2 linked regions of the Anolis sagrei genome follow. The protein of the gene in region 2 purifies or fractionates together with the protein of the main gene of each other region. This does not show direct contact. Links are inferred from orthologs where the notes say so. Each region holds a gene or a part of one and is shown on either strand. Other genes may lie near its edges. The genes, in order: PPP4R2 and PPME1.

What was found.
Region 1: the proteins of PPME1 (region 2) and PPP4R2 purify together in Homo sapiens (affinity purification with mass spectrometry; 3 studies listed by BioGRID and IntAct, counting the BioPlex papers as one, with this or other methods). This does not show direct contact. The link is inferred for Anolis sagrei from reciprocal best matches to the Homo sapiens genes PPME1 and PPP4R2.

What each region holds. Positions count from the first base shown.
Region 1 is NC_090022.1:40,795,096-40,811,270, reverse strand, and holds the start of PPP4R2 (serine/threonine-protein phosphatase 4 regulatory subunit 2), read right to left. Parts: upstream 7,928-16,175; 5' UTR 7,630-7,927; coding exon 7,596-7,629; intron 4,743-7,595; coding exon 4,661-4,742; intron 1-4,660. UniProt on the Homo sapiens protein: Regulatory subunit of serine/threonine-protein phosphatase 4 (PP4). May regulate the activity of PPP4C at centrosomal microtubule organizing centers.
Region 2 is NC_090023.1:5,506,390-5,522,386, forward strand, and holds the start of PPME1 (protein phosphatase methylesterase 1), read right to left. Parts: upstream 7,144-15,997; 5' UTR 7,101-7,143; coding exon 7,000-7,100; intron 3,334-6,999; coding exon 3,239-3,333; intron 1-3,238. Other genes in the region: C2CD3 (C2 domain-containing protein 3), read left to right, coding at 7,754-7,829, 12,282-12,551, 14,930-15,087, 15,936-15,997. UniProt on the Homo sapiens protein: Demethylates proteins that have been reversibly carboxymethylated. Demethylates PPP2CB (in vitro) and PPP2CA. Binding to PPP2CA displaces the manganese ion and inactivates the enzyme.

The sequences.
Region 1 (16,175 bases), on a different chromosome or scaffold from region 2:
CATTATTATGCTACTTTAACTAAGGAAGATTTATAGAATTCAGTTATCTAACATGGATAAATACATTTGCTCTTTATAAAGAAATACTTTTAAGGGAGGGTTAGGAAATCCATGGCCCTTCAGATTGTGTTCACCCACAGTTTCTTCCAGGCCTATTCAAGGTAATCAGATGGGAGTTACAGCTCAACACCTGAAAGCCACAAGTTTCCAATTTCTGCCTTATACCAAGAACATATATATCCTAGTGTTCAAACTTACAGACCTATACTTTGAAAAACATGTGTTGCTGCTCATGCATGCTGTGGTATCTACCATTTAACTTGTCTGTTGTAGGCAGACACAACAAGTTATAACAGCATTGGCTAGAGCAAAATCGGATTCTTTGCATTGTTTACGACAGGCGCCCTGTTGTAACCTGATACCGAAAGTCTGTTTCTTCACTTGTCCACAAACCTACCGATGTATCTACAATGAGGACATGGATGAAAAGGTGCTAGGTGAGCATAAAAAGGCTTTGTAAACAGAGCTTCTTTGTCAGAGGCATTGTTAATTATACCTGTATCAACTAAAAGATCTCACAGTATTTTTAAATGAGTTTTAAAACTATTTAGCAAGTGGAGAAATGTATCTTTCTAAGGGCAGGCTATTATTATTATTATTATTATTATTATTATTATTTCAGACATTTATAACCCGTTCTTCTCACTCCCGGAGGTGGACTCAGGGTAGCTTAGAACCAGGAACTAAATATAGGACACAGATCTGGTATGACTAAAGAGCTCAGTGGACTCTAACAAACTGAATTTATGCTCCATTGAAACTTACACGCTGTAATAGATCGTCACAAAACCAAAAGGTTTTTATTTCATGGATTCCCCTTTCCAGGAAACCCCTAGGTGCTTTTAAGAAATTAAAGACTGGCATCTAACTTCCATGGTTGGAGACGCCCAACTCACACAAAGCCTACAATTATTTTAAAATGCTTCAATAATTATTCTTATTCTTGTGACTAATATTAAACTGGTGAGGGAAACTGTAGAGGGCCTGGGTCTAATTTCCGGCCCTTGCAACTCTTTGGCAACCACATGAGCTGCCAAAAATGACTCTGCCCCCACCAGGTTGCCAAAAATCCCCTTCTGATTTTGAAAAAAATTGGGTTTTTTTAATGTTAACAATGTGAAGGGGTGCAGCATGTGTAAAAGGTGACACAACACTTCTGGAGGTCTCCAAGACAAGTGGCACACTCTTTTTGGAAGGGAGGGGCAGAAAAACAGGTGATCTAAAGGCACCTTGAAATTTGTAGAAATAACCTTGGGAGTCCAAATGCAGCCTACGGGGACCACTTTAATAATTCCTACTTTAAATCAATGTGTTCACAGTTATTAAACTGTTATTAAATATTACATGGTAGTAGAATTTTAAAATTCCAAACCGTTAAATATTAAACATGCATTTTCAAAAGCCAAAAATACTGAGGATCAATCCTGGTATTAAAGCAACAACAAGTACTTCATCACACTAGAGCACCTATCCACTTTAAATCCAGTTGCTTCCTCCTGCAGAATTCTGAGGTTTGTAGTTGACTGGGGTGTGAAGTTCAAAGGCCACACCCTTAACTACAAACCCCAAAATTCTGCAAACGGATTTAAAGTGGATAAATGTTCTAGTGCAGTGGTTCTCAACCTGTGGGTCCCAAACACCTGGGGACCCACAGGTTTAGAACCACTGCTCTAGTGTGATGAAGTCCTAAGATTTATAGCACTTAAAGGAGTAGACTGTTATGATAAAGAACATAAAAGTCAATCCACAGAATACACACATACACGTTTTTAGAACAGCTGTGGCATCATGATTTTTGCTTTATAGACCTAGGCTCAAAACTTTCCAAACTCTACCATTCTAGATCTTTAAATATATCTATTAAACAAATTTAGACTTATGCAAGAAATAAACTGTTACTAGGATCTAAAATGTAATTATGTTGATCATATATTGGTATTAAGGAAAACTGGAAGAAAACTCTGTTCTTACTGAACTGACCTTTTGTTTCTAAGAATAAACAAGATTTCAGGGCTTCTTTTTTCTTTTAATTCTAGTGTCCAATGATAAAAAAAACAGTTGTACTTTGTAAGGTGGAGTTCACTGAAATAAGTATTTTCCCCAAAGCACAAGTTAACATTACTCTCCCCCACTATGCCAGCTTGGGAGCAAACAAAACACACACACACACACACACACACAATATTTACACACTACAGGGTTTTCTGCTAAGTGGTAAGGCAATAAGGAAGTCAGAGCAACATCAGAAAAATACAATCTAGATATACAAGCACGTGTATTTATGTATTTCCTTGTCCTGACTGCTGTAACTTGAGGCCACTAGAGGAAAGCTGAGAAAAAATGTAATGAACAAATAAACACTGTGTTAATATACTTAAGCTTCATATCAGTTGTCCCAGATTAAACTCTGCCACCTTTATGCAGAACATGGTAAGCCTTCCTTCTCAAACTCTGGAAAGTCACTACCAGTCACTATGGCAAACAACACTGAGATGAACCAATAGATCAACTCAGTATAAAGCAGCTTCCCATGTCTCCAATACTGTTCTCACTCATACTCCATTGTCTCACCTTTATCCCTGCACCCTTTTTGTCAGTGGCCACAATACTCCCCTTACATTTCTACTTGGACATCTCTTTTGCTATCAAATCAAGCAAAAGCTCACCACCCAATCTCTTTGTTCTTACATCCAATACATCCCTTCCTTCAGCTACACCATATTCCGTTCTCTGAAAATAGTTCTCTCTCCAAGAATTCAACACTTTACCTTGCTTTCCACCTGTGATGCCATGCCTCTTACTGTCTTTAAATCCGCTCCGAAAAATTTCACTTCTTCCGTGACGTCTTTAGCACAACCGAACTATTCTAAGTGCCTCTATTATGTCCTGTGCTGAATTATAGATAGTAATTTGTGACAAACGCTTGACTTCTCAGTATCTGTGAACATTACTGCCTTCCTGCCAATTTGTCAGTGCTTGGCATACTAAAACAGTTGGATACACTCTGCCAAATATGGTAATTTATAATAGTCTACTTTTCTTTACTATTATTTTTATTGAAGTGGTGGCAAACCAAAATCACACTCACTACTACAAATTTATGGAGTGAGCAGGGTCAGAAGACAGGACCAAGGTGCAGGTTATGATATAGCAATGTGTGTGCTCTCATCGGGAGAGAATGGGACCACCAAGAAAATAATCACTTTTTCTTTTTATTATTATTTTCTCTCGTTTTCTTTACTTTTTTATTTTAATTTTAATCATGTTATAGAAAATTTCAATGAAGATTATTTTTTAAAAAAGAAAGAATATAATCACTTACTGGTTGCGTAGACAAATGTAAATGAATAGGAAAGAGGTATGTTATCATATTTAGAAAAAGGAAACATTTGGTTGGCATTGGCATCTCAGTCCAGCAACACCCATTTAAATGAGCACTACCTGAAATCCCAGATGAAGTAAGAGGCTTCTAACCCAAAATAAGAACCCTGGGCCCGGTTAGTCATCCGAGTCTATTCTTGGTCTCTTGTTTTTATACATTTCAGATGCCATTGTCCATACGTGATGAATTATGATGTACTTCCTGATTATGTTATAACTAGGCAAAGTGATATGAAGAAGCAAAATCAACCCCCCAAATGAATATGCTTTGAGAGAGTTACTCTTCTCATTAATTCCCTGTATCTAAAATGAGGTTGAAAAAGACCTACGGTGCACCTACACTGTAAAATGAGTGCAGTTTGACACCCTTTGAATTGGCATGGATCAATGCTATGGAATCATGGGAGTTGTAGATCTACAAGACATTTAACACTCTCTGCGAAAGAGTGCTGGTTCCTCACCAAACTAATACTCCCAGGATTCCATAGCATCGAGGCATTGTAGTTCAAGTGGTGTCAGACTGTACTCATTCTACACCCCAAGAGAATTTGGTACTTAAGCACATCTCTATATGGGGTTTATTTTTGCGTCAAGAAGTATGTACACACAGAAAGGCTGTGTTATGAGCAGTCCCCATAACTAATTGATATCAATCCCATAATTGATATACTTTAAAATTTGGACATATTTATTCAATGCTACTAAATAAATTTTGCAGAACTACATTTCTCTGAAAATGTAATGTGCTAATTTGTAAGTTAAGAAAAGAAAAATGTGTCCATCTTTGTGTAATAAGTCTAATACCATTCCACTTTTTATACTCGTTAATAGGAATCCATGTTAATTCACAACTCTGAAAACAGATTGCAAAACACACAGTCTGTCCATGTTTTGCCTATTAAAGCAGGAACACTGTGTAAAATAGAGACAGCATTAGGTTTATTGCATTCAAAAGAATGTATTGAAGTTAACAAGAAACACTAGAAAGAATCAAAGGCACTCAGAACGATACTGCTCAATCTTTGATGAACAGCTTTTTAAGTCTAAAAGAAAGTTACCTAATTAGCAAAACTTGAGAAACACTTATACTGTGTAGCTATTCATTTGGAATGTAGGTACCTTTCAAGGATCAACACATAAAAGGCATTCAGTTGCTAACTTTCTTTCTGACTCATCCAAGAGCATAGAAAGAAACTAGAAATCAATTAAACTCACTCACATTGTCTCTCCAGTCTTGGCAACATGACAAAGAAATTGATCCAGTATTGGGCACACTTCCTTCTTCCCCCTTTTTTCAAAATCTACAAAGAGGACAGAAAAAGAAGAAAATAACTATTAAAAGTACACACTCCTTTGTTAGACACCATATTCACCTTCGAAATATCTTGCATTCTAAATGGAAAGCACACACTAACATGGATATGTAAACACACTCAGGCATGCTCCTTAACAGGCCTCTGAAGGAACATCAAATATATTTTAGTATCTGAACGGCTGTTATTCAACTTCTCTTTCAAAGCTAGTTTCTAATACTAGCTAGACTATGGGTAGGAAAGCAAATACAGCCAATGTAATCCAGTGATTTCTTGGAGTGGGTGGGAAGGGGAGGATACACGTGAGGTAAAGGTTGCCAGAAATGCTAGAAAGTTAAGGAAATGAAGATTAGAAGAGTGTATAGTCATGTAACAGATAAAAGAGATAATGTTGAATAAAAGGCCCAAAAAAACTTTTTTAAGGAAGGGGTATGAAAATCGGCTGGAAGGGGAAACCACTTGGGAGCTGTATGACTACCTTCTCCAAAAATGGCTTGAAAGCAGGGGGAGGGAAGGAATGGCTTCCATTTCTCCCAAGCAGTAAACAAGAAAGGTGTCTTCCCTTTAACAAAAAAGGATGCCATTCTATTGTAATATTTACTTTTTGTACGTTTTAGCTGTGTTGTTCTTTTAAATTGTGAGCCACTATAAATCCCAATGTTGGAGATAAAACGCTACATTAACAATACTGACTGGGAGTATTCCTTATCCAAAACCCTTGGGACCAAGAATGTTTTATATTCTGGACCCCCCCCCCCCCACCCCCATTTTGAAATACATTTGCATACATGCACAGAATGAGATGTCTTGGAGATGCAGCCAAGGCACAATTCATCGCTGTTTCATATACAGCTTTTAGACATAGCCTGAATGCAATGTTATACCCAATTTTTGTGAAGAAAACAACATTTGTGTGTATTGTACCCTCAGAAAGCAAAGGTGTCAGGATCTCAGAGAGCATACACTGTGGAATCAGTGCAGTCTGACACCATTTCAACTGCCATGGTGCAAAGCTATGGAATCATGGGAGTTGTAGTTTGGTGAGGCACCAACACTCTTTGGCAGAGAATGCTGAAGATCTTGTGAAACGACACCTTCCATGATTCCATAACATTGATCCACGGCATTTTCAAGTGGGGTCAAACTGTATCTTGAGATTCGTGGGCTGGCAAAAGTTTCAGGATCTCAGAGTGCATACACTGACACCATTTCAACTGCAATAGTGCAATGCTATGGAATAGTGGGAATTGTATCTTGGTAACACTCTCTGACAAAGAAGGCAGAAGATCTTGTGAAATTGCCACAGCTCAATCCTATGGAATAATGGAGGTGTAGTTTTGTAAGGCCTTTAAGCCTTCCCTGCCGAAGAGTGTTTTTGGTGCCTCACTAAACCACAAATCTCAAGATACAGTTCGACTCCACTTGAAATTGCCATGGCTCGATACTATGGAATCATGGGAGGTGTAGTTTTGTAAGGCCTTTAAGCCTTCCCTGCCGAAGAGTGTTTTTGGTGCCTCACTAAACCACAAATCTCAAGATACAGTTCGACTCCACTTGAAATTGTTATGTCTCAATCCTATGGAATCATGGAGGTGTAGTTTTGTAAGGCCTTCCCTGCTGAAGAGTGTTTTTGGTGCCTCACTAAACCACAAATCTCAACATACAGTTCGACTCCACTTGAAATTGCCATGGCTCAACACTATGGAAGGTGTATTGTCGAAGGCTTTCATGGCCGGAATCACTGGGTTGTTGTAGGTTTTTCCGTGCTATATGGCCATGTTCTAGAGGCATTTTCTCCTGACGTTTCGCCTGCAGGGGTGATTTGAATGCAATATTCCTGCTTTTTGGCAGGGGGTTGGACTGGATAGCCCATGAGGTCTCTTCCAACTCTTTGATTCTATGATTCTATGCAAGCATCCTCAGAGGGTGCTTGCCATAGATGCAGGCGAAACATCAAGAAAAAATGCCTCTAGAACATGGCCATATAGCCCAGAAAACCTACAACAACCCACTATGGAAGGTGTCGTTTCACAAGATCTTCGGCCTCCCATGATTCCATAGTAATGAGCCATGGCAATTTCAAGTGGAGTCAAACTGCTTGTTAAGCTTTGTGGTTTCAAACTGTATCTTGAGATGTGTACTTTTGTGAGGCAGCAGAAACATTTTTCAGCAGGGAAGGCTTAACCACCTTACAAAACTATACCTCCCATGACTCCACATCCTTGAGCCATCTACGATGTGGAACTAAAGCACAGATTGGCATGGAAGGAGTTGTAGTGTAGTGAGGCACCAGCAGTCTTTGACAGAGAAGGCCTTGCCAAACTACAACTCCCAGGATTCCACAGATTGGCATGGTAGGAGTTGTAGTCTAGTGAGGCAGCAGCAGTCTTTGAAAGAGAAGGCTAAAGGCCTTGCCAAACTACAACTCCCAGGATTCCACAGCCTTGAACCATGGCAGTTAAAATGGTGTCAGGCTGCATTCCTTCTATTGTGTAGGTCAAGTATGGGCTAAGTTGGGCCCTTCCGGTGTTTGGACTTCAACTCCCACAATTCCTAACAGCCTGAGGCTGTTAGGAATTGTGGGAGTTGAAGTCCAAAACACCTGGAAGGCCCAACTTGGCCCATGACTGGCGTAGATGCACCCTCAGCTAGTCAGATAAGGGATGCTCAATCTATAATAATAATAGGGATTGATGGGATCTCCCAAGTACACCAAAGCGAAGCCCAGGCCTCGTGTCCCCCATTCCTGAGGGCAGTGTCCTCTTCCCTTTCCGTATGACCTCAAGGTAACCTGGAACCCTCTCCCCAGAGCCAACCAACCCCCACAACCCTCTCACACACCTTTCAGTGCCTCCTGCAGCCTCTCAACATCCATGGTCCGCAGCTACCTCTTCCTCCTCCTCCTCCTCCTCCTGCCCCTCGGGCCCTCACACAAGGAACAGGCCTCCAGAAGCAGCACAGGGGAGATATTTCTTCAGCCTCAGCCACTCCGAGAGCGAGAAAGAGAGAGGGGAACGACCGAGAGGCGAAAGACTCCCAAGAGAAAGGAAAGAGAGAGGAAACACACACTCAAAAAGAGAGAGACACAGAGAGAGAGGCAAAACCCCCGGCGGCCGGGCTCAGCAACCTTCCAACATGGCGCCCAAGCCGCCGCCGTGCGCGCCGCCGCCGCCGCTTGCTGCGCGCGCACGCACGCAAGCACGCACGCACACCACACCGCGAAAAAAAACAAGCTTCGCCTCTTCCCGCCGGCACGCAGAGGCGCGCGAGGAGAAGGTGGTGACGTCACAGCCCGAGAATGATTGAAAGCCTGAAGGAATAGCTCGAGTTGGGATTGGCCGAGAGAAGTCTTCCTTCTTTTTTTTTTTTTTCAAACTGACTTTTTCTCTCTGCTCCGCCCACTTCGGGTGACGTCACGCTTCGGTGGAAACTGGATTCGAGAGGAGATGCCTTCTCTTTTTTAAGTCCCGCCCACTCCCGGTGACGTCACGCTTCGACTGAAAGCCAGGTTTCTTCCTTTCTTCATTCAGTCTGAGGAGAGAGAAGAGAGAAGGTGTATGTTTTGAGGGAGCCCATGAGGTGAGACTGTCGACGCCTTTCAACATACATTTGAGCAAAAAGTTAGATATTTTGACAGCAACTTTGATATAATTGTGGCAAGTAAGCATGAGTGCATCTACACTGTACGTTTAATGCAGTTTGGCACCACTTTTAACTGTCATGGCCTAATGCTGTGCAATCCTGGGAGTCCTTCTCTGCCAAAGACTCCTGATGCCTCACTCAATTATGACTCCTAAGATGCCATGGCAGATAAAGTGGTATCAAACTGCATTAATTCTACATTGTTGATCAGACATGGGCAAACTTGGGCCCTCCAGGTGTTTTGGACTTAAACTCCCACCATTCCTAACAGCCGGTAATGTTCATTTGTGGGATTAACATAACTCAGAAACCACTGGGCGAATTGACACCAAATTTGGACACAGGACACCTATCAGGCCAACGGGTGACCATCACTCATAAAAAACACTGAAAAACACAGCAGAAGAGACTTAAAAAGCAAAAAAAAAATTACAATGCATGCACAAAACCACATATATACACAAATATATACACACACAAAACATACACAGCAACTCATGGCAGGGAACGGCTAGTACCACTAATAAAGTATTTTATTTTATCAGAAAAGAAATCTAATATCACTTTTAGCCTTTATTTATTTATTTGTCATGTCAGGACAACCAGTCAAATTATATTACATTTCTAACAAAACAAACAGACAAAATACAGAATGTGTGTGTTTGATGGTTGATTAAATGTCCTTTGACCAGTATCTGGCCACTGGGAGTGCTTCTGGTGTTGCTGCAAGAACGTCCTCCATTGTGCATGTAGCAGGGCTCAGGTTGCATTGCAGCAGGTGGTCAGTGGTTTGCTCCTTTCCACACTCGCATGTCGAGGATTCCACTTTGTAGCCCCATTTCTGAAGGTTGGCTCTGCATCTCGTGGTGCCAGAGCGCAGTCTGTTCAGCGCCTTCCGAGCCTCCCAGTCCTCTGTGTGCCCAGGGGGGGAGTCCCTCTCTTTTTTTTCTTTTTTCTTTTATAAATGATTTTTATTAGAAATATTCCAAAATATACCAAAGTTTGGGGGAAGAGTGAGCATAAAAATCTCTTAGAAAAGACAACAAGGTACGATGGGCCGGGAAAAATGGGAGGGATAAGGGAGGGGGGGAAGGTGGCCCTGGTGGTGGGATCATTCTAAGTTGGGGGAGCATGCGGGGTTGGGTTAAGGTGTGCCGGGTAAGTTGGGGGAGGGAATACAACGGGGGGGGGGGGGGAATATAACATTTGGAAGGATGTTCCGACTTCCCAGTCTTCTTGCTCCATGTCTTAAAATTTTGAGTTCCTTTCTAGGTGGCTCTTTACGTAGTTCCTCCCTTGTATTGCTAAATTTTTTATTCCTTCTTATTTCTGGTTCTTCTCTTTTCCTTACCTTTTCCGGGCTAGCTCATTTCTGAGAATTCCTCGAAGGGTTTCCAATTCGTTCTCTTCAGTGGTCGCCCATATGAATCTTTTAGTGTGTAGGTCAATACATCCATCTCTCATATGTCTCGTACTTTCTCCAACCACTCTTCTTTAGAAGGGATTTCCTTGGACTTCCAGTGTCTGGCGAACACAATTCTTGCTGCCGTTGTTAAGTAGGTCAGCAACAAATAACTGTTTACATCCAGGTCCCAATCTTCTTCGAAGATTCCCAAAAGGTAGTACTCTGCTTTTCTCTGTATTTTTCTCTTAAGGATCAGTTCACAAGCTTCGTTTATTTCTTTCCAGAAGGATTTATTCGTTTATTTCTTTCCAGGGGGAGTCTCTCTTTTGGTGTCAGCCATTGGTTGAGGTTCTGGGTTTGAGCCTGCCACTTTTGGACTCTCGCTTGCTGAGGTGTTCCAGCGAGTGTCTTTGTAGATCTTAGAAAACTATTTCTAGATTTAAGTCGTTGACGTGCTGGCTGATACCCAAACAGGGGATGAGCTGGAGATGTCACTGCCTTAGTCCTTTCACTATTGGCTGCTACTTCCCGGCGGATGTCAGGTGGTGCAATACCGGCTAAGCAGTGTAATTTCTCCAGTGGTGTAGGGCGCAGACACCCTGTGATAATGCGGACTTTTAGCCTGATATGTTTTAAGTAAAGGGTTGGGTTTTTTTTTAGGCTGAACACGTGAAGCCCACGGTCAGTTATGCAGTGATATAATATATACATATTAACATTGTTTCTTAATACCTGGATGTGTGTGTAACCTGATGTCTGTATATTTATGTACATGTGCTTGTACATGTGTGCGTACTCTGACATTTGCACACCCTGTCACTTGTACCTTTTTGATGCTGGTCATTGACCGTAATAAATGTTTAAAAAATATATACACATATTTAATCACTATCACCTCTCTTTTGTAAGAATCAAGTTTTCCCACGTTTACACAGTGCATTATCTTTTGAATGACAGCTACAGAAACTAGAGCTTGACAGCAGATTAAATATCTTTATAATTAAATCATCTTTGTTTAATATAAAAATCCACTTGTCAATACCAAATGTCTTGGGCAAATCGTTTCTTTTTTTAATTGTGTCAGAAGCAACTTCAGAAGCCGCGATGGCACAATGGGTTAAACCCTTGTTCCAGCTGAACTGCTGACCAGTTCAGCTGGAACTGGTCAGCAGTTCAGTGATTTGAATCCACAAGACGGGGTGAGCTCCCGTCTGTCAGCTCCAGCTTCCCATGAGGGGACATGAGAGAAGCTTCCCACAGGATGGTAACACATCCAGGCGTTCCCTGGGCAACGTCTCTACAGACGGCCAATTCTCTCACACCAGAGGTGACTTGCAGGGGCGATGGTTAATATTCAATCTGAATACAATAAGAGACTCTCATTTAACTGTTACCTATGGGGACTGGTAAATGCCGGATAAAGGTAGTTTATTGCTGCTTGAGAGCTACTATTACTATTAAAAATAGACATAACTAATACTATACCCCAGGCATGGGCAAACTTGAGCCCTCCAGGTGTTTTGGACCCGCTGTTAGAAATTGTGGGAGTTGAAGTCCAAAACACCTGGAGGATCAAAGTTTGCCCATGCCTGCTATCCATAAACTCAGTATTGACTTGATATCCTTATGAAATACAACAATTAAAAGCAAATAAAGACAGTGTAACACTGTTTGACCATATTATAAACAAAAAGCTTTACGAATCCAGTATTGGGTGGTTGTAGTTTTTTTCGGGCTATATGGCCATGTTCTAGAGGTGTTCTCTCCTGACGTTTTGCCTGCATCTATGGCAAGCATCCTCACAGGTAGTGAGGTTTGTTGGAACTAGGAAAGTGGGTTTATATATCTGGAATGACCAGGGTGGGACAAAGAACTCTTATCTATTGGAGCTAGGTGTGAATGTTTCAACTGACCACCTTGATTAGCATTTGAAGGCTTGGCATTTGAGGATGCTTGCCATAGATGCAGGTGAAACGTCAGGAGAGAATGCCTCTAGAACATGGCCATAAAAACCTACAACAACCAAGTGATTCCGGCCATGAAAGCCTTCAACAAAACATTGAATCCAGTATTATTTATTTGGGGGATGTTTTGCTGGTTGCTTGAGATTTCTGATTGCTTGAGTTCTGATTAACTGAGAGTTGACTGTATTATTATTTTGCATTGTAACGAATTAGGAGAGAGGAGGGACGATTTATTATTTATTACTCTTAATGGTGCCACCAATGTGTGATGTGAGGTATTACTGGGAGATATGGCACACTGGACGCAGAATTAATGGAGATGAGGCAGTCTTCAAACAAAAGAGAACAAGTTTATTTTGAACAAAGCGTATGGTTGCAGGCTGTTGATAAACTTGGAAATACTTTGAGAACTTTACATGTAACTTGGTTGCAATACAGTTCACACTTCTGGATGTTACAACTTGTAATTGACTTTTACTGTGGTGAAGCACTTTCTTAAACAATGTTTCCTGAGGTGAATAGCCTTCCTGTTTGATCCTTCCGTGATCAAACCCCAGATCTCTAGTTCATTTCTAACTAGTGATCTAAACAAGCTTCCCTTAGTCCTCTCTAACTAATGAAACTAATTAGGTTTCCCCTTCAGCTTTCCTAAACTGAAAAAACCTCTGACTATTCACAAACACTGCTTCTCTACTTCCCACTCTCTCTCTCTCAACTGCTAACTCCGACTCCAAAACCCTAACTCCTCACTCCTCGGAACCTAAAACTCTAACTCATGACTGTTCACTCCTCTGAACCTAAACTCTAACTGAACATTAACTGTCGTTTTTCAAACTCTCCCCTCTAAGCTCCTCCCACTTCTCTCTCTACAGCATCGTCTCCATGGCAACGCACTCCTCTGACTTAGGCCGCTCCAGCATTACTGCAGCCAATCTAAACACAAATACAGTTAAAATCATACAATTTATAATCAACTTCTGTACATGCATATTTAAGGACTCACTGAGTCGCAAGTTTAAACCATAACACTATGTAACAGGTTTTTTGTTCCTGGGTCATAAATGTCATTTCCTAATTGGTTCTATCATGAAACTTGAGTCTCAACCAATTCAACATAGTTTGTGGCAGCCACAGAAACAAAGTTTCTGGAGTATAACAACTACTTTCAAAGGAAGTACCACACAATTAAACAGGAAATAACACTTTCAAACCAGGAACATATTTTTTCACATTTTGTTACATAGTATAATTAATGCACTTTTTAGATCAAATTAATATTTTCTTATAATACAGCTCTCGCTCGATACATGAATGATAACGTTCTCTTGGCCATTGAAATGGACAACAAGCAGCCAATATTCCTAGTGACCACATGCCTAGCATGGCAAGTTTCTACTTCTTAAGCGTTTTGTTTTTTAATTTGCATAGTTTTACATTTATTGTCCAGAGAAAAGCAGAATAATAATAATGTAAATAAAATAAATGAAAAATCTCCTTAAGCACAGACAGAAGATATAGTTTGTTGGAATACATTTATTAGATTAGTAGACAACTTTGACTGCCCTTTTCTTATTCAGCTTTTCACCCTTGATTTAGAACAGCCTTTAGAGACAGAGACCTCTATTTGAGTATGAAAAGTTGCTTCAGCTTAGAAGAGTCGGTTTTTCATGGCTTAACAACAATATTACAAATACAGTTCTTCTATGTGTTTTCCTTTCAATGATGTCAGCTTAAAAAAAAATCTAGTTGTAATACTGTGATTTCCCCAATCTTTCTCCTTCTGTGTGGCTGACCGTCTGGTTAGAGCTCAAATATTTCACTTTGAAGTTGTTTGAATATTCAGCATTCACAGAACTGGGAGCTACATTTTTCAAAGCTTAAAAGTCTCCTTGAACAGTAGCTCTTGACTGTCTTTGCTCCAAGCACGCTGTGCAATCTCCACATAATAAATTACCACTTTCAAGCACCATCTTGAAACCTACCTCTTTTCTTTTGATTTTGGGTATAATTTTCACTGGGATGTTTTATTCGCCGGGGAAAACATTTATCTTAAGAATAAAGGGAGAAAAGTAGACTACAAACTTAATTCATAGAGTTCTTGTGGGTTTTTTTGGGCTATATGGCCATGTTCTAGAGGCATTTCTCCTGACGCTTCGCCTGCCTCTATGGCAAGCATCCTCAGAAGTGAGGTCACCTCACCTCTGAGGATGCTTGCCATAGATGCAGGCGAAACGTCAGGAGAAATGCCTCTAGAACATGGCCATATAGCCCGAAAAAACCCACAAGAACTGAGTGATTCCGGCCATGAAAGCCTTCGACAATACATTAATTCATAGAGTTGGAAAAGACAGGGATTGCAAACCCATGCATCAGTTGTGGGGCAAAATTATAGTACAATCTCTATAGTGGGTTGCTGTGAGTTTTCCAGGCTGTATGGCCATGTTCCAGAAGCATTCTCTCTTGACGTTTAGCCTACATCTATGGCAGACATCCTCAAAGGTTGGGACCTCACAACCTCTGAGGATGCCTGCCATAGATGTGGGTAAAACTTCAGGAGAGAATGCTTCCAGAACATGGCCATACATCCCGGAAAACTCACAGCAGCCCAGTGATTCCAGCCATGAAAGCCTTCGACAGGACAATCTCTATAGTATACTATGTTCTTTGTTTGTATTGGTTACATCTTATTAGAAAGAAAAGGTGTCACTAATACTTCACTGAGGATGCACTTTAATAATACTCAAAATGCACGAATTTGGTTCACTGTAGAGAAAGTGGAAAGCTGGAAAACTACTTGAAGATCCAAATGTACTGATCAATATAATCACAAATCTGACTTCTCACTGGAAGAACTGATAGTCAGTTGCAAGATAAGAGCCAGAAGGTTCATCTACACCAGGCATGGGCACACTTCGACCCTCCACGTGTTTTAGACTTCAACCCCCAGAAATCCCAACTAGTTTATTAACTGTTAGGAAATGTGAGAGTTGAAGTCCAAAATGCCTGGAGGGTCAAAGTTTGCCCATGCCTGATTTATACTATCAAAATTAAAGCACTCTGACACCAGTTTAACTGCCTTGATTCAATGCTATGGGATGCTGGGATTTGTAGTTTGGTGAGGCAGAGGAGAAAGACCTTCTAAAACTATAGTTTCCAGGATTCCATAACATTGAGCCATGGCAGTTAAAGTGGTGTCAAACTGCATTTATTTGATAGTGTAGGTGCACCCTAAGCTACTGTTCCTCCAGCCACATAAAATAAAATAAACCACTTGTGACCTGGGGAGTTTATTGTTCTTTGGATCTTGAGGAGTATTTTTAAATTTCAAATAAATAACAGGATTTATACCCATCTCAAGAAATCTGGATCAGGATGCGAACCAGTAATTGGATAAATGTGTCCTCATTCGTTTTGTTAATATAATTTATGTATGTAGCCCTAATCTAAAAGGACTTGGTTTAACCTCTGTTTTGCTAGTAAAACTGAATTACTGTGTTGTGAAATGATACGTTTCTAAAAAGTGTGTCACCAACATGACATATTTGGAAAGCTTTACTTGGAAAGTTGTTTGAGTACTGGAATTGGACACATGTATTGGGGAGTGGGGTGAGCTCCAGTTGTTAGGTCCAGCTTCTGCCAACCTAGAAATTCAAAAACATGTAAATGTGAGATCAATAGGTACCGCTTCTGCGGGAAGGTGCAACACTCCATGCAGTCATGCTGCTCACATCACCTTGGAGGTGCCTATGGACCACACCGGCTCTTCGGCTTAAAAATGGAGATGAGCACCAACACCCAGAGTTGGACTCAGCTAGACTTAATGTCAGGGGAAACCTTTACTTTATGTTTACACTGTAGAACAAATGCAGTTCAACACTACATTAACTGCCATTGCTCAATGCTGTTTTTTCATGTCAGGAATGACTTGAGAAACTGCAAGTCATTTCTAGTGTGAGATCAGCCATCTCCAAAGACGTTGCCCAGGGGATGCCGAGATGTTTTACTGTGCTGTGGGAGGCTTCTCTCATGTCCCCACATGAGAAGCTGGTGCTGACCAAAGGGAGCTCACCCTGCTCCTCGGATTCGAACCACCAATCTTTTGGCATAAAGATTGGATACTATTTTTGCAGGGGTGGCATCAAACTATAACTGTCTGATTACTTTGATATATTCATCCTGGATTCCATGCTGGTAAAATAAATTGTAAAAATATATACTAAATATTTTATCTGCTTTTACAAGTCACACTGGGGGCTCTATGCTATTTGAATCCAGGGAATTGTAGTTTTACAAAGTCTTGAGACTTTCCTACCAAAGCATGCTCACCAAAGTGCCTCACACAACTATAAAAATCCCAGGATTCGATAGGATTGAGCTATTGCAGTAAAGTGGTGTCAAACTGCATTCCTT
Region 2 (15,997 bases):
CATTATCACGGGGTGTCTGCGCCCTACACTACTGGAGAAATTACACTGCTTAGCCGGTATTGCACCACCTGACATCCGCCGGGAAGTAGCAGCCAATAGTGAAAGGACCAAGGCAGAGACATCTCCAACTCATCCCTTGTTTGGGTATCAGCCAGCACGTCAACGACTTAAATCAAGACATAGTTTTCTTAGATCTACAGAGACACTCACTGGAACACCTCAGCAAGCGAGAGTCCAAAAGTGGCAGGCCCAAACCCAGCACCTCAATCCGTGGGTGATATCAGATGAGAGACTCCCCCCTGGGCACACAGAAGACTGGGCGACTTGGAAGGCGCTGAACAGACTGCGCTCTGGCACCACGAGATGCAGAGCCAACCTTCAGAAATGGGGCTACAGGGTGGAATCCTCGACATGCGAGTGTGGAGAAGAGCAAACCACAGACCACCTGCTGCAATGCAACCTGAGCCCTGCCACAGGCACAAGGGAGGACCTTCTTGCGGCAACACCAGAGGCACTCCAAGTGGCAAGATACTGGTCAAAGGACATTTAACCAACTACCAAGTTTGCAAAATCTGTGTTGTTGTTTTTAATCTGTGTGTCTGTTTTGTTCTGTTAGAAATGTAAAAAAATGGTATGTTTGCTGATGACACGATGAATAAATACCTTAATATACTGTATTTACTTGAGTATAAGCCTAGTTTTTCAGCCCCTTTTTATGCTGAAAAAGCTCCCCTCGGCTTATACTCGAGTCAAGGTTATTTATTATTTTATTCTGTTATTAGTATTATTTTTATTTCATGTATTATTTTACTTTATATTATTACATTTACATTCCAATATTTTCAATTTTCCACACTTCAGCCACTTTATTATTATTGCATTATACTTTATTATTGATTATTTTGCTCTATTATTACATTTATTATTTTGCTCTATTATTACTGTTATTATTGCATTTCCATTATTTTACTTTATTGTTATTATTATTATTACATTTGTTATTTTATTCTCTTTATTATTGTTGGAATGATGTGCAAGTATATTTACATTGAAGAAAGTTAAAATAATGATTTAATCAGAGTTGGGCAGTCTTGTCTCAAATTACAGTTTTATGTAAATATTCAAAAACATTTCACCTCCTGGTGCCTCAATTAATGTTCCATCTGAACATGAGGAAGAACTTCCTGACTGTGAGAGCCGTTCAGCAGTGGAACTCTCTGCCCCGGAGTGTGGTGGAGGCTCCTTTCTTGGAAGCTTTTAAGCAGAGGCTGGATGGCCATCTGTCAGGGGTGCTTTAAATGCAATATTCCTGCTTCTTGGCAGAATGGGGTTGGACTGGATGGCCCATGAGGTCTCTTCCAACTCTTTGATTCTATGATTCTATGTTATTGGTATTTATTTCTATATTGAAATTTACCCCAAGTGGCTTCATTTCCCACCCTCGGCTTATACTCGAGTCAATATGTTTTCCCAGTTTTTTGTGGTAAAATTAGGTGCCTCGGCTTATATTCGGGTTGGCTTATACTCTAGTATATACGGTAAGTTGAGCATCTCTTACCTGGAATTCCAATATTTTGAATTTTCCACACAAGTGGCTGAAGTGTGGAAAATTCAAAATATTGGAATTCCAGGTAAGATGCTCAACTTATATTAAGGTGCATTAAGACCAGAACATATTTTTAAAACTTCCTGCAGTACATAACTTATCAAAACAATTATGACACCTGTTGAATAATAATAATAATAATAATAAATATGTGTGTTGTGTTGTTTGTACTTTGGAATGTGTAGAGTTTACATATGTAAGATTCCCTTAATGTTTTTTTTATTCTTGAGCCGTGAGAAGTGGTGAGTAGGGATTATTATTATTGTTGTTGTTCATTCATTCAGTCATTTCCGACTCTTCGTGACCTCATGGACCAGCCCACGCCAGAGCTCCCTGTTGGCCGTCACCACCCCCAGCTCCGTCACCACCTCCAACTAATAATATTCAATTATTATTAGAAATAATATTATTGTTATTATTAAAATTATTATTGATTTTAATTGTTTTTTAAATTAAACAATTTAACTTTAAAAACTATTTTTATAGTTTTTGACTATTAATATTTTAGTGCTATATGTATTTAATTCTTTTTTAATATCTGCATTTCTGTATATTTTAAATTCTATATTAATGTGTTGTCAAAGGCTTTCATGGCTGAAATTACTGGGTTGCTCTGAGTTTTCCAGGCTGTCTGGCCATGTTCCAGCATCATTTTCTCCTGATGTTTCGCCCACATCTATGGCAGGCATCCTCAGAGGTCGTGAGGTCTGTTGGAAACTGGGAAAGAGAGGTTTATATATCTGTGCAATGTCCAGGGAGGGAGAAAGAACTCGTCTGCTTGAAGCAAGTATGAATGTTGCAGCCAGCCTTACAGCTTCAAAGCCTCACTGCTTCCTGCTATATATTAATATTATATACTAATATATGGAGCCCCTGGTGGTGCAGTGGGTTAAACCACTGAGCTGCTGAACTTGCTAACCGAAAGGTCGCAGGTTCTAATCCGGGGAGCAGGGTGAACTCCCGCTGTTAGCACCAGCTTCTGCCAACCTGGCAATTTGAAAACATGCAACGGCGCTCTATGCAGTCAAGCTGACCACATGACCTTGGAGGTGTCTATGGACAACGCTGGCTGTTCGGCTTAGAAATAGAGATGCGCACCAACCCCCAGAGTCAGACATGACTGGACTTAATGTCAGGGGAAAACCTTTACCCTTTATTATACATAAAAGTATACTAATACTTTTATGTCAAGTCACATGTCAAGTTATCTCCCCTTTGGGGAGATAAAGTGGGGTATAAATAAATATAACAACAACAACAACAACAACAACAACAACAACAACTGGATTTAATGTCAAGGGAAAACCTTTACCCAACAACAACAACAATTTAACTTATATTAATATTATTAACTATTTCAATTATTGTTATTTATTATTAAATTATTTTTAATTATTGTTATAAAATTAATTAAATTATATGAAACCTTTTTGTGTGTTAATAGAAAACACGATTAAAAGAAAAAAAAGAAAATCATATAAAATTAGCAAAAAGAAAAAAAAAAGAAAAATTATTCTGATTAACATGTTTTAAAAGACACTGTAATCCCTGACTGCTACCTTCCCCTGCTTCAAAGCTTCACCGTTATATCTAATCAGAAGGGACAATTCAATTAAAGAAGAGGAAAGGATATATCCTTGCCGGAGTCGCTCTCGACAACCACGTCCTCCATAGATTCAAAGTACTGGCTCCACGGGACCGGGGAATAGTCACGTTTCCTTCCAGGTCTGAAAGAAGAAACGTGGATAGTTTATATATAATGACAGTACAATTCATTCTCACAGCGGTGAGACCAGCATTCCCAGTTTCATCTTCCCACACAACAAAATATGTCCTCACTGGGGACTTTCTCCTACAGGCAATTCCAGGGTAAACTTCTGCTTACCTAGAAAAAATCCTAGAAAGGCATCCATTTAATTGCATGTATTATTCTGTGCCTCCGTCTGTCTGTTTGTCTGGAAGAGGAAATGCCAAATCCTTTTTGCCAAGCACTGTCAATAGCATCATTAATTCTAGTAAAGATAATGCTATCTAGCTCCTTACCTTCTTCTCCTATTCTGTTCTGTCCCACGTTCCAGTTTTTAAAATTATTATTATTATTATCATCATTTTTATTATATGAATAAAGTATTATTATTAATAAATTAGCCATCCCCTGCTGTGGCCGTCTGCGTATATGTGTTTTGTGTGTGTATATGTGTCTGTGTGTATATATCTGTGTATATATGTGTGTTTGCATATATATATGTGGGTGTATATATATATATATATATATGTGTGTGTGTGTGTGTGTATATATGTGTGTATATATTTGTGTGTTTATATGTATACATGCATATTGTGTATATGTGTGTATATATGTGTGTATATATGTGTTTGCATATATATATGTGGGTGTATATATGTGTGTGTGTGTGTATGTATATATTTGTGTATATATGTGTGCTTGCTTATATATACATGGGCGTATAAATGTGTGTTTGCTTATATATATATGGGTGTATATGTTGTGATAGAGTCTGCTGGCAGTGATAGTAACACTAGTTGTATTAGGAAAGGCAGGAGAACTACTCGCGAGCAAGACTATGATGGACCATAAACTATACTTCTTTAATTGGCTGGCGTCTGACCTTGACAGTATATGTGTGTATATATTTGTGTATATATGTGTGGACTTTGATGGACTAATTCCCTGGACTATTTTGTTCCGGCTTATCTTCCTACCTAATTGGATTTACCTATACCTTTAAAGTGCTTTTTTACTTTTACTGCTTTTTAATTGTCTTCAATAAACAGATTTAATTGTCTTCAATAAACTCAGAGGGCTTTTCCTGGTCTGGATTTGGGGATGAAACCAAACCAACCCCACTGGATACCAATGGGCCTATTGTAATTACTATTATTACATTCAAGAGCCTTTTTCTAGGAAAGGAATGATGCACCTTGCAACTGAAGAAACGCAAGCTGAAAAGCAGGACAGTCTATAGATAATACACAACTGCACCTCAAAAGCAAGAGCAAATTATAGGGATGCCCCATCCGCACGCAGCCAACAGCTAAAAAGGACCTGCCAATTATATTATATCCCAATTATATTTCTTAAAATAGCTGCGAATGGAGAAAGAATGAAAAGTATGAGGTCCGTACAAAAGGTTGTTGGACTGTAATTCCCGGCAAATCTAACCAGCACATCCCCAAACTTAAGAAGAATATCCTCATATCCTTAACTGCATCTCCAACTTAATAATATCCTTATATATTTACCGGTAATAATAATAATATCCTCAAATACGTAATTGCATCCCCAACTTAATAATAATATCCTTATATATTTACCGGTAATAATAATAATATCCTCATATCCTTAACTGCATCCCCCAACTTAATAATAATAATAGCTTTATATATTTAATAATAATAATATCCTCAAATACCTAATTGCACCCCCAACTTAATAATATCCTTATATACTTAATAATAATAATATCCTCATATACTTAACTGCATCCCCCAACTTAATAATAATAACATTAGCCTTATATATTTAATAATAATAGTATCCTCAAATACCTAATTGCATCCCCAACTTAATAATATCCTTATATATTTAATAATAATTTTAATATCCTCAAATACCTAATTGCATCCTTATATATGTTGTAATAATAATAATAATAATAATAATAATAAATCATAATAATAATAATAACGCCGCCCTGAGTTGCCTTCGGGCTGATATGAGCGGGATACGAATGTTGCAAATAAATAAATAAATAAATATCCTCATATACTTAACTGCGTCCCCAACTTAATAATAATAATAATAATAATAATAATAATAACCTTACATATTAAATAATAATAATAATATTCTCATATACTTAACTGCATCCACAATTTAATAACAACAACAATAATTGTAATAATGTGTTGTCGAAGGCTTTCATGGCCGGAATCACTGGGTTATTGTGATTTTTCTGAGCTGACTAGCCATGTTCCAGAAGCATTCTCTCCTGATGTTTCGCCCACAACTATTTTATCTATTTATTTATTTTATTTAGCAATTTTGTATACCGGTCTTCTCCCCTCTATCGGGGGACTCGGGCCGGTTTCCAACAATAAAATCACAAAACAATCATTAAAAACATCTTATGACATATTCAATTAAAACGTTATAACAGCAAAATGCAATCACATAATAACAATGGTCAGTCGTCATAGTGAATCCGTTGTCCATCATTCATCGTCATCTATCCGATCACAAAAATATTGATTCACTCGTTGAAAGCCAAACCCCATAGCCAGGTTTTCACCCATTTTCTGAACGACAGAATGGAGGGGGCAGTTCTGATCTCCAGCGGGAGAGAGTTCCAGAGTCGAGGGGCCACCACCGAGAAGGCCCTGTCCTCTGAGGTCTGTTGGAAACTAGGCAAGTGGATTAAGGTTCAGTGTGGGAAAAAGAACTCTTGTCTGTTTGAGGTAGGTGTGAATGTTGCAATTGGCCACCTCGATTAGCATTTAATGGCCTTGCAGTTTCAAAGCCAGGCTGATTGCTGCCTGGGGGAATCCTTTGTCGGGCTTTATATACCTGTGGATTAAGGTCCAGTGTGGGAGAAAGAACTCTTGTCTGTTTGAGGTAGGTGTCAATGTTACAATTGGCCACTTTGATTAGCATGTAATGGCCTTGCAGTTTCAAAGCCTGGCTGATTGCTGCCTGGGGGGGGGGGAATCCTTTGTCGGGTGTTGTTAGTTGGTCTTGGGTTGATTCTTGTCTGGAATTCCTATGACCCAGTTAGGGCTGGCTAAGACCTCCCAACAAAGGGTTTCCCCAGGCAGGAAGCAGCCAGGCTTTGAAGCTGCAAGGCTTTCCAATGCTAATCAAACTCACAGAAACCCAATAATAATGGCCCTGGTTGTTTCTTGTCTGGAATTCCTATGACCCAATCAAGGCCAGCTCAGACTTCCCAACAAAGGGTTTCCCCAGGCAGGAAGCAGCCAGGCTTTGGAGCTGCAAGGCTTTGCAATGCTAATCAAACTCAAAGAAACCCAATAATAATGGCCCTGGTTGTTTCTTGCCTGGAATTCCCCTGACCCAATCAGGGCCAGCTAAGACCTCCCAACAAAGGGTTTCCCCAGGCAGGAAGCAGCCAGGCTTTGAAGCTGCAAGGCTTTGCAATGCTAATCAAACTCACAGAAACCCAGTAGTAATATCTTCATATACTTAATCAATCTTCTTATGCATAATAATAATAACAATAATAGTAATTGTAGTGGAATTCCTTTGAAAGGTGAAAAAACCCACCATGACGTCACCCTTTGCCTCCCTCCCCGTGACGTCACGCAGCCCCCTCCCCTCGCGTGACGTCACCCCTCACCCAGATCTTGGGCCTCACCCCATGCGCATCTTGGGGGCCCCTTGAGCGCCCATCCCGGCCGGGCCCGGTCCTCGGGGCGGGAGGCGGCCCAACTGCAGCTGCTTCTCCAGCGCCGACATGGCTGCCACCCCTCAGGAAGGCAGGAAGCGGCGAGAAAGGGCACCGGGACTACAACTCCCGGCATGCCCCGCGCTCCCGGCACACTGCTCCTCCTTTGAAGCCCCGCCCCGGAGCATCACGGGATGGCGAGTCCTTTCTTTTTCCTCCTTTCATTTTACGCCGGGTCTATCTCTGACGTACACCGGAAGCGGCGAAAAAGGGCATCGGGACTACAATTCCCGACGTGCCCCGCGCTCCCGGCACGCTGCTCCTCGCTTGAAGCGCCGCCCCGGAGCAGCACGGGACATCGAGTCCTTTCTTTCTCCTCCTTTCATTTTACGCCCGGCCTGTCTCTGACGTAGACCGGAAGTGCACGCAGGGCAGCACGGGAAATGGAGTTCTCTGCGGCTGAGAGGCCGATAAGAAAGAGCCGGCTTAGAGACACACGCATGCGCGGTTCAGGGCAGCACGGGAAATGGAGTTCTCTGCGGCTGAGAGGCCGATAAGAAAGAGCCGGCTTAGAGACTCGCGCATGCGCGGTTCGGGGAATGGCCGCAGCCGGGCTTTCCTCCCGCCGGTTTCCCAGGAAGCATTGCGAGCCGCGGCCTGCGTTGCCAAGCAACGCGAAGCGGCCTAGTCGTAGTTGAAGCCTCCTGGGAGTAGTTGAAGAAGGATGAAGCAGAAGAAAAAGGCGGCGAAGGGCTTCTCCTCCCCGTCCCTCTCCTCTCGGCCTGGGCGCAAGCGGAAGGGTGAGAATCGGGGGGAAGTTACAATTCGCCATGGGGCAAAAGGCAGTTATTTATTATTTATTTATTTATTAGATGCACTTATTGACCGCCATTCTCAGCCCTTACGGGCGACTCATGGCGGTGTACAGTACACATAAAAAGACAGTTACAGAGGCCAGTATCAACAACATATGACTATACAACAAATACAAACTACAAACTACATAAAAATCCGCTTCGTCTCTTAGTAGAATCATAGCCAGTCTCATCTTCCTTATACCATTCCAGTTCTCATTACCGTAATGTTGTTGCTTAGCACTTAATTAAATGCCCTCTCGAACAGCCAGGTCTTAAGGCTTTTTCGAAAGGACATGAGGGAGGGCGCCTGTCTGATGTGTGCCGGGAGAGTGTTCCACAGCCGGGGGGCCACCACCGAGAAGGCCCTCTCCCTCGTCCCCGCCAGCCGTGCCTGTGATGCAGGCGGGATCGAGAGAAGGGCCTCCCCAGACGATCTCAAGGTCCTCGTGGGCTCGTAGGCCAAGATGCGGTCCGAAAGGTATTTTGGGCCGGAACCGTTTAGGGCTTTGTAGGCCAAGACCAGCACCTTGAATTGGGTCCGGTAGCAAATCGGCAGCCAGTGAAGCTGGGACAACAAGGGCGTTGTGTGCTCCCTGCTACCCGCTCCAGTTAGTAACATGGCTGCCGCACGCTGGACCAGCTGAAGCTTCCGGGCCATCTTCAAGGGCAGCCCCACGTAGAGAGCGTTGCAGTAATCCAGGCGGGATGTGACAAGAGCGTGTACCACCGTGGCCAAGTCAGACTTCCCGAGATATGGGCGCAGCTGGCGCACGAGCCTAAGCTGTGCAAATGCTCCCCTGGTCACCGCTGAAACCTGGGGATCCAGGCTCAACGATGAGTCCAGGGTCACACCCAAGCTGCGAACCTGCGCCTTCAAGGGGAGTGCGACCCCGTCCAGCACAGGCTGTAACCCTATATCCCGTTCGGCCTTGCGACTGACCAGGAGTACCTCTGTCTTGTCTGGATTTAGTTTCAGTTTGTTCGCCCTCATCCAGACCGTTACAGCGGCCAGGCACCGGTTCAGGACCTCGACAGCCTCCTTAGTAGCAGGTGGGAAGGAGTGACAGAGTTGGACATCATCTGCGTACAGATGACACCGCACCCCGAAACTCCGGATGATCTCACCCAGCGGCTTCATGTAGATGTTAAACAGCATGGGGGACAGTATGGAACCCTGTGGCACCCCACAAGTCAAAGGTTGTGGTGCGGAACAGGAGTCCCCCAATAACACCTTCTGGGTGCGACCCTCCAGAAATGACCGGAGCCACCGCAAAGCAATGCCTCCAAGACCCATTTCCGCAAGGCGCCCCAGAAGGATACCGTGGTCGACGGTATCGAAGGCCGCTGAGAGGTCCAGGAGCACCAACAGGGACACACTCCCCCTGTCTAGCTCCCGGCGCAGATCATCCACTAAGGCGACCAAGACCGTCTCGGTACCATGCCCCGGTCTGAAACCAGACTGTGCCGGATCCAGATAATCCGTGTCTCTCAAGAATACCTGGAGTTGTGAGGCCACCACGCTTTCCATGACTTTGCCCAAAAAGGGGAGATTGGAAACAGGCCGAAAGTTGTCCAATTTAGTGGGGTCCAGTGATGGCTTCTTCAACAGCGGCTTTATAATAGCCTGTTTTAGGCTCGCTGGAATCTTGCCTTCCCGAAGGGAGGCATTCACCACCACTGTTACCCACTCGGCCAATCCCCCTCTGGCCTCTCTCAGAAGCCAGGATGGGCAGGGGTCTAGGATGGACGTGGTGGGCCTCATTCCTCCAAGTATCTTGTCCACATCCTCGGGTTTCACAAACTGAAAAGAATCCAACAAAATAGGACAAGCAGGTGCTCTCGTTACATCCACAGAGTCTGCATCTAACGCGGCGTCCAGCCCAGAACGGATCAAGGCGACTTTGTCTGCGAAGAACCGAGCAAATGCTTCACAGCGCGCGACCGAATTGTCAGGGCTCCCACCTGCAGAGGCGGGAGTTAAAAGACCTCTGACAATCCGAAACAGGTCCGCCGGACGGTTCTTTGCAGACGCAATAGTGGCCGCAAAGAAAGTTTTCTTTGCGGTCTTTATTGCCGCGGCATATGCCCTAAGAAAGGACACAAACCGTGCTCGGTTTGACTCGCTCGGTTCCGAACGCCACACGCTCTCTAGTTCCCTCTTCCTTCGCTTCATAGCTGCCAGCTCCTCAGTAAACCAAGGGGCTGGTTTAGCTCGGCTACTTGAGAGGGGACGTTCCGGAGCGATCATGTCAATAGCCCTGGTCATCTCCCCATTCCAGAGAGCGACCAAGGCTTCGACATGGTCACCTACCGAGGTGGCGGGAAAATCCCCAAGAGCCGTCAGGAAGCCATTCGGATCCATAAGCCTCCTGGGGCGGACCATCTTAATGGGTCCTCCACCTTTGCAGAGGTTAGGGGGCGCAGTGAGCCTAAATCTGATCAGGAAGTGGTCGGTCCATGGCAACGGAGAGATGGACAACTCCTCCACACCGCCACCCTGTTCCCATCCCTGACAGAAAACCAAATCCAATGTGTGTCCAGCACAGTGGGTGGGGCCAGATATTTGTTGGGACAGCCCCATGGTTGCCATGGCAGACATGAAGTCCTGAGCCGCGCCTGTGAGGGTCGTCTCGGCATGGACGTTGAAGTCTCCCAGCACAAGAAGCCGTTGAGACTTCAATGCCAGGCTCGAGACCACCCCCGCTAGCTCAGGTAGGGAGACTGTAGTGCAGCGAGGTGGACGGTACACTACTAGAATCCCTATACTGTCCCGGTCACCCACCCTCAGGTAGACGCTTTCGTTAAAGCGGTATCAAACCGCGTTAAGCCCGCAGTGTAGATGCACCCCATAGCCTGCGTGGAATAGAATGGATATGTCATTGTGTCATTCTATAATGTCACGTTTCTCTCTTTCACCCTCCATTCGTGCCTCTTTGAATTCTGCAGCACTGCTGGTCACAGCCGACCTCCAACTGGAGCACTCAAGGGCCAGGGCTTCCCATTGCCACAGTTTTTGAGATTGACGGTCCTGGTCAGGGTTGGCTTGATGTGCCTTCCTCTTGGTACGTTTCTCTCTTTCGCTCTCCATTCGTGCCTCTTCAAATTCTGCAGCACTGCTGGTCACAGCTGACCTCCAGCTAGAGCGCTCAAGGGCCAGGGCTTCCCAGTTCACAGTGTCTATGCCACAGCTTTATTATTATTATTATTATTACTACCTTATTAACACCTTTGTTGTTTTGTTGTTGCTGTTGTTATCTGATGCACAACAAGATGAGTACACAGTGAACAAGATCACTCTGCTGGCTGCTGTATTGGATCACATGTTGGACACCTCCCAGTTGTCTAGGACTTGACACATTTCTCTCTTTCGCCCTCTATTCTCACCTCTTCGATTTGTGCAGCACTGCTGGTCACAGCTGACCTCCAGCTGGAGCGCTCAAGGACCAGGGCTTCCCAGTTCTCGATGTCTATGCCAGAGTTTTTAAGGTTGGCTTTGAGCCCATCTTTAAATCTCTTTTCCTGTCAACCAACATTCCGTTTTCCAAGTTCGAAGTAGAACAACTGCTTTGGGAGACGGTGGTCGGGCATCCGGACAACATGGCCGGTCCAGCGGAGTTGATGGTGGAAGACCATCACTTCAATGCTGGTGGTCTTTGCTTCTTCCAGCACACTGACATTTCTCCGCCTGTCTTCCAAAGAGATTTGCAGGATTTTCCGGAGGCAGCGCTGATGGAATCGTTCCAGGAGTTGCATGTGACGTCTGTAGACAGTCCACATTTTGCAGGCGTAGAGCAGGGTTGGGAGGACGATAGCTTTATTGCATTCAAATCACCCCTGACAGATGGTCATCCAGCCTCTGTTTCAAAGCTTCCAAAGAAGGAGCCTCCACCACACTCCGGGGCAGAGAGTTCCACTGCTGAACGGCTCTCACAGTCAGGAAGTTCTTCCTCATGTTTAGATGGAATCTCCTCTCTTGTAGTTTGAAGCCATTGTTCCGTGTCCTAGTCTCCAAGGAAGCAGAAAGGAAGCTTGCTCCCTCCTCCCTGTGGCTTCCTCTCACATATTTATACATGGCTATCATATCTCCTCTCAGCCTTCTCTTCTTCAGTCTAAACAGGCCCAGATCCTTAAGCCACTCCTCATAGGGCCTGTTCTCCAGACCCTGGATCATTTTAGTCGCCCTCCTCTGGACACATTCCAGCTTGTCAATATCTCTCTTGAATTGTGGTGCCCAGAATTGGACACAATATTCCAGGTGTGGTCTAAACAAAGCAGAATAGAGCATGGGGAGCACGACTTCCCTAGATCTCTAGATACTATGCTCCTATTGATGCACTATGCTCCTATGAATCATTCACATTGTCTAAATAACTGTGTTCTAATGCTTTTTCGCAGATCTCAGTGACATTACCCCTTCGACAAGCTTGCCGCCTCTCGTGGAAGGACAGCTACGCTGCTTTCTGAAGCTGACCGTTAGCAAGATCCTATGGATGGTTTCCAAGCCACCATCTTCCTTCCTGATCCGGGTGCGGTGGTGGGGAGAGACCTCAGATGGCACTGTTTTCACTCCCCGTGACCCCTCGCAAGCAGAGCAAAAGACACTGAAGACTACCACTCGCTACCCAGTTCGGTGTGGACCAAAACAGTTTACCGCCTACCTGACAGGTACTGATTGGATCCTTGATGCTTAAGTATCTAAATTTTTTTTGCTTTAGGATTGGAATTCACTCTTAAAGCAAAAACTAGAACGGACAGGAATTGCTGGGTTGTTGTAGGTTTTTCCAGGCTATATGGCCATGTTCTGGAGGCAATTTTTCTCCTGACGTTTCGCCTGCATCTATGGCAAGCATCTTCAGAGGTAGTGAGGTCTGTTGGAAGTAGAAAAAATGGGTTTATATATCTGTGGAATAACCAGGGTGAGACAAAGGACTTTTAGGTTCTTGTGGGTTTTTTCGGGCTATAGAGCCATGTTCTAGAGGCATTTCTCCTGACGTTTCGCTTGCATCTATGGCAAGCATCCTCAGAGGTAGTGAGGTCTGAGGATGCTTGCCATAGATGCAGGCGAAACGTCAGGAGAAATGCCTCTAGAACATGGCTCTATAGCCCAAAAAAACCCACAAGAACCTAGTGATTCCAGCCATGAAAGCCTTCGACAATACAAAGGACTTTTGTCTGCTGGGGCTAGGTGTGAATGTTTCAGCTGATCACCTTGATTAGCATTCAATGGCTTGGAAGTGCCTGGGGGGAATCTTTTGTTGAGAGTGATTTTATGTGCCTGTTTGTTTCCCCTCTGTTGTTTTGCTGTTGTAATTTTTGAGTTTTTTAATACTGGTAGCCAGATTTTGTTCATTTTCATGGTTTCTTCCTTTGATTGACTAAATGTGATAAGTAGGAAACTGACTTTCCTTGAGGTCCAGTTTGGAGGAAATTGCAAGATTTGCTTTGCTGATTGGCTGCCCAGCTCTGCGTATTCTGATCAATGACACCTCTGTAGTGTCTTCTGCAACATTTTCCCCAGCCTTGTCGTTGGAATTGTATCCTTATAATTAAGTTGAACTTTCTCACAGTTTGACAGTAGAATATGCTGCTTTGGAGTTGTGTTCTCTTCTTTGGTGGTTTTTAAACAATCCCATTACCAGTGGCTTGGTAATTTTGATGGTTGTGATTCATTTATTTATTGAGTTTATCCTTCCTATTCTTCCTTTTGCTTCCACCTCATTCCAAACATTCCCATTATGATTTGTTCTCTGTCTGCACACCAGTCTTTTATTTACACTGTGGGAAGAGTTGATAATTTAAACAGGAATGGAAGAGAATATATATATTCTTTATTTATTTACTGTATTTGTATACTTCCTTTCTCAGCCCGTAGGCGACTCAAGGCAGCTAACAGGGCAAAATTCAGTGCTTACAATGTCATAAATACAATTAAAAGCATAACATTTATTAAAAACTAAACAATCAATAAAATATAAATTCATAGTGTCTCCTGTGTTGTCTGGACTCAGTGTCTAGTCCAGTGGTTCTCAACCTTCCTAATTCCTCGACCCCTTAATACAGTTCCTTATGTTGTGGTGACCCCAACCATAACCCTAACATTATGAATCGCCATGTAAATAATGATCTGCAGGATGTATTTTCATTCACTGGAGCAAATTTGGCACAAATATCCGGTATGCCCAAATTTGAATACTGGTGGGATTGGCGGGGGGATTGATTTTGCCATTTAGGAGTTGTAGTTGCTGGGATTTATAGTTAACATGTAAACAAAGAGCATCGTGAAACCCACCAACAATGGAATTGAAACAAAGTTGGCACAGAGAACTCCCATGATCAACAGAAAATACTGGAAGGGTTTGGTGGGCATTGACCTTGACTTTGGGAGTTGTAGTTCGCCTACATCCAGAGAGCACTGTGGGCTCAAACCATGATGGATCTGGACCAAACTTGGCATGCATACTCAATATGCCCAAATGTGAACACTGATGGGGTTTGCGGAAAATAGACTTTGACATTTGGGAGTTGTAGATACTGGGATTTATAGTTCACCTACAATCAAGGAGCATTCTAAGTCCCATCAATGATAGAATTGGGCCAAACTTCCCACTCAGAACCCCCATGACCAACAGAAAATACTGTGTTTTCTGATGGTCTTTGGCGACCCTTCTGACACCCCTTCGCGACCCCCTCAGGGGTCCCGACCCCCAGGTTGAGAAACACTAGTCTAGGCGTTCCATTTTCCTGTGTCAGTTACTCTGCATTTGCAAACGCTCATGCAAAAAGCTACATCTTGACTTTTTTTCTGGAATGTTAAAAGGGAGGTGGCCGATCTAATATCTATAGGGAAGGCGTTCCACAGCCGAGGGGCCACCACCGAGAAGGCCCTGTCTCTCGTCTCCACCAAACATACTTGTGACTAAGATAGTAACCAGAGCAGGGCCTCCTCAGACGATCTTAAGGTCCTAGATAATTCATAAGGGGAGATGCATTCAGACATGTAAGTTGGGCCACAGAGTGACTGGCTATTTTATTGTTCCTTCTAGATATGGGTGCTCTTATACTGGAAGTCATGACCAAATCAGATCGCCTTCCAATCGGCCGGGTTCAAATCAGTGGGCTAGCGCAGCTCTCTCCTAGCCACCCAATCAGTGGGTTTTTCACCATTGTTTCACCAACATCTGAAAAGATGGGAGAATTGCAGGTATTTAAAAACTTTTGCTGCTTTTTCTTAGTAGCAGGGATATGCTCAATGCTCAGAATATATTGTGATTGTAATTCCTCCACATTTAATTCAGGATCTAGGAGAAGAAAAGGTATGTGGCAGTCACATATAAGGGATGTTATATACAGTGGCCTTTAATGTGAACTACAAATCACCTGTGCAAATACCTGTGCCATCAGTTCAGAAGCTTCAAGCAAGCCAGCACACAGCTGTGTCTATCTTATGCTGTCTGCAATAGGGGGATAATATTACTGACCTACACCAAAGGCTATCCTGTCCAACCCCAATCTGTCATGCAGGAAAAGCACGTTAAAACACCCCTGACAGATGGGCATCCAGCCTCTGCTTAAAAGCCTCCAATGAGACTCAGAGACAGAGTTCCACTTTTGAACAGCTCTTACGCCCAGGAAGTTCTTCCTAATGTCCAAGTGGAATTCCCTTTTCTGTCATTTGAACCTATTCCTCTGAGTCCTAGTCTCCAAGGAGGCAGAAAACTAGCCTGTTTCCTCTTCAACGTGACATCCTTTCATATATTTAAACATGACTTCTCTGATGTCTCATCTCAACCTTCTTTTCTGCAGGCTAAACATCCCAAGCTCTGTAAGCCATTCCCCATTGGGCACGGTTTCCAGACCTTTGGTTATTTTAGTCACCTTCCTCTGGGTTGTTGTAAGGGTCCCTCAAAAGATCATATCCCACTCAGAAAATATGCTATTTTATTTATTATTTATTTACATTATTTCTATCCCGCCCATATCAGCCCGAAGCCGACTCAGGGCGGCTATATGCTATATGAATATTAAATATTCCATGTTCTCCTCTTGTAGGTATCAGTCGTTCTGGAACCTTTGTCTGAAACCTATGATAGCAGCAGCTCCATCCCAAACAC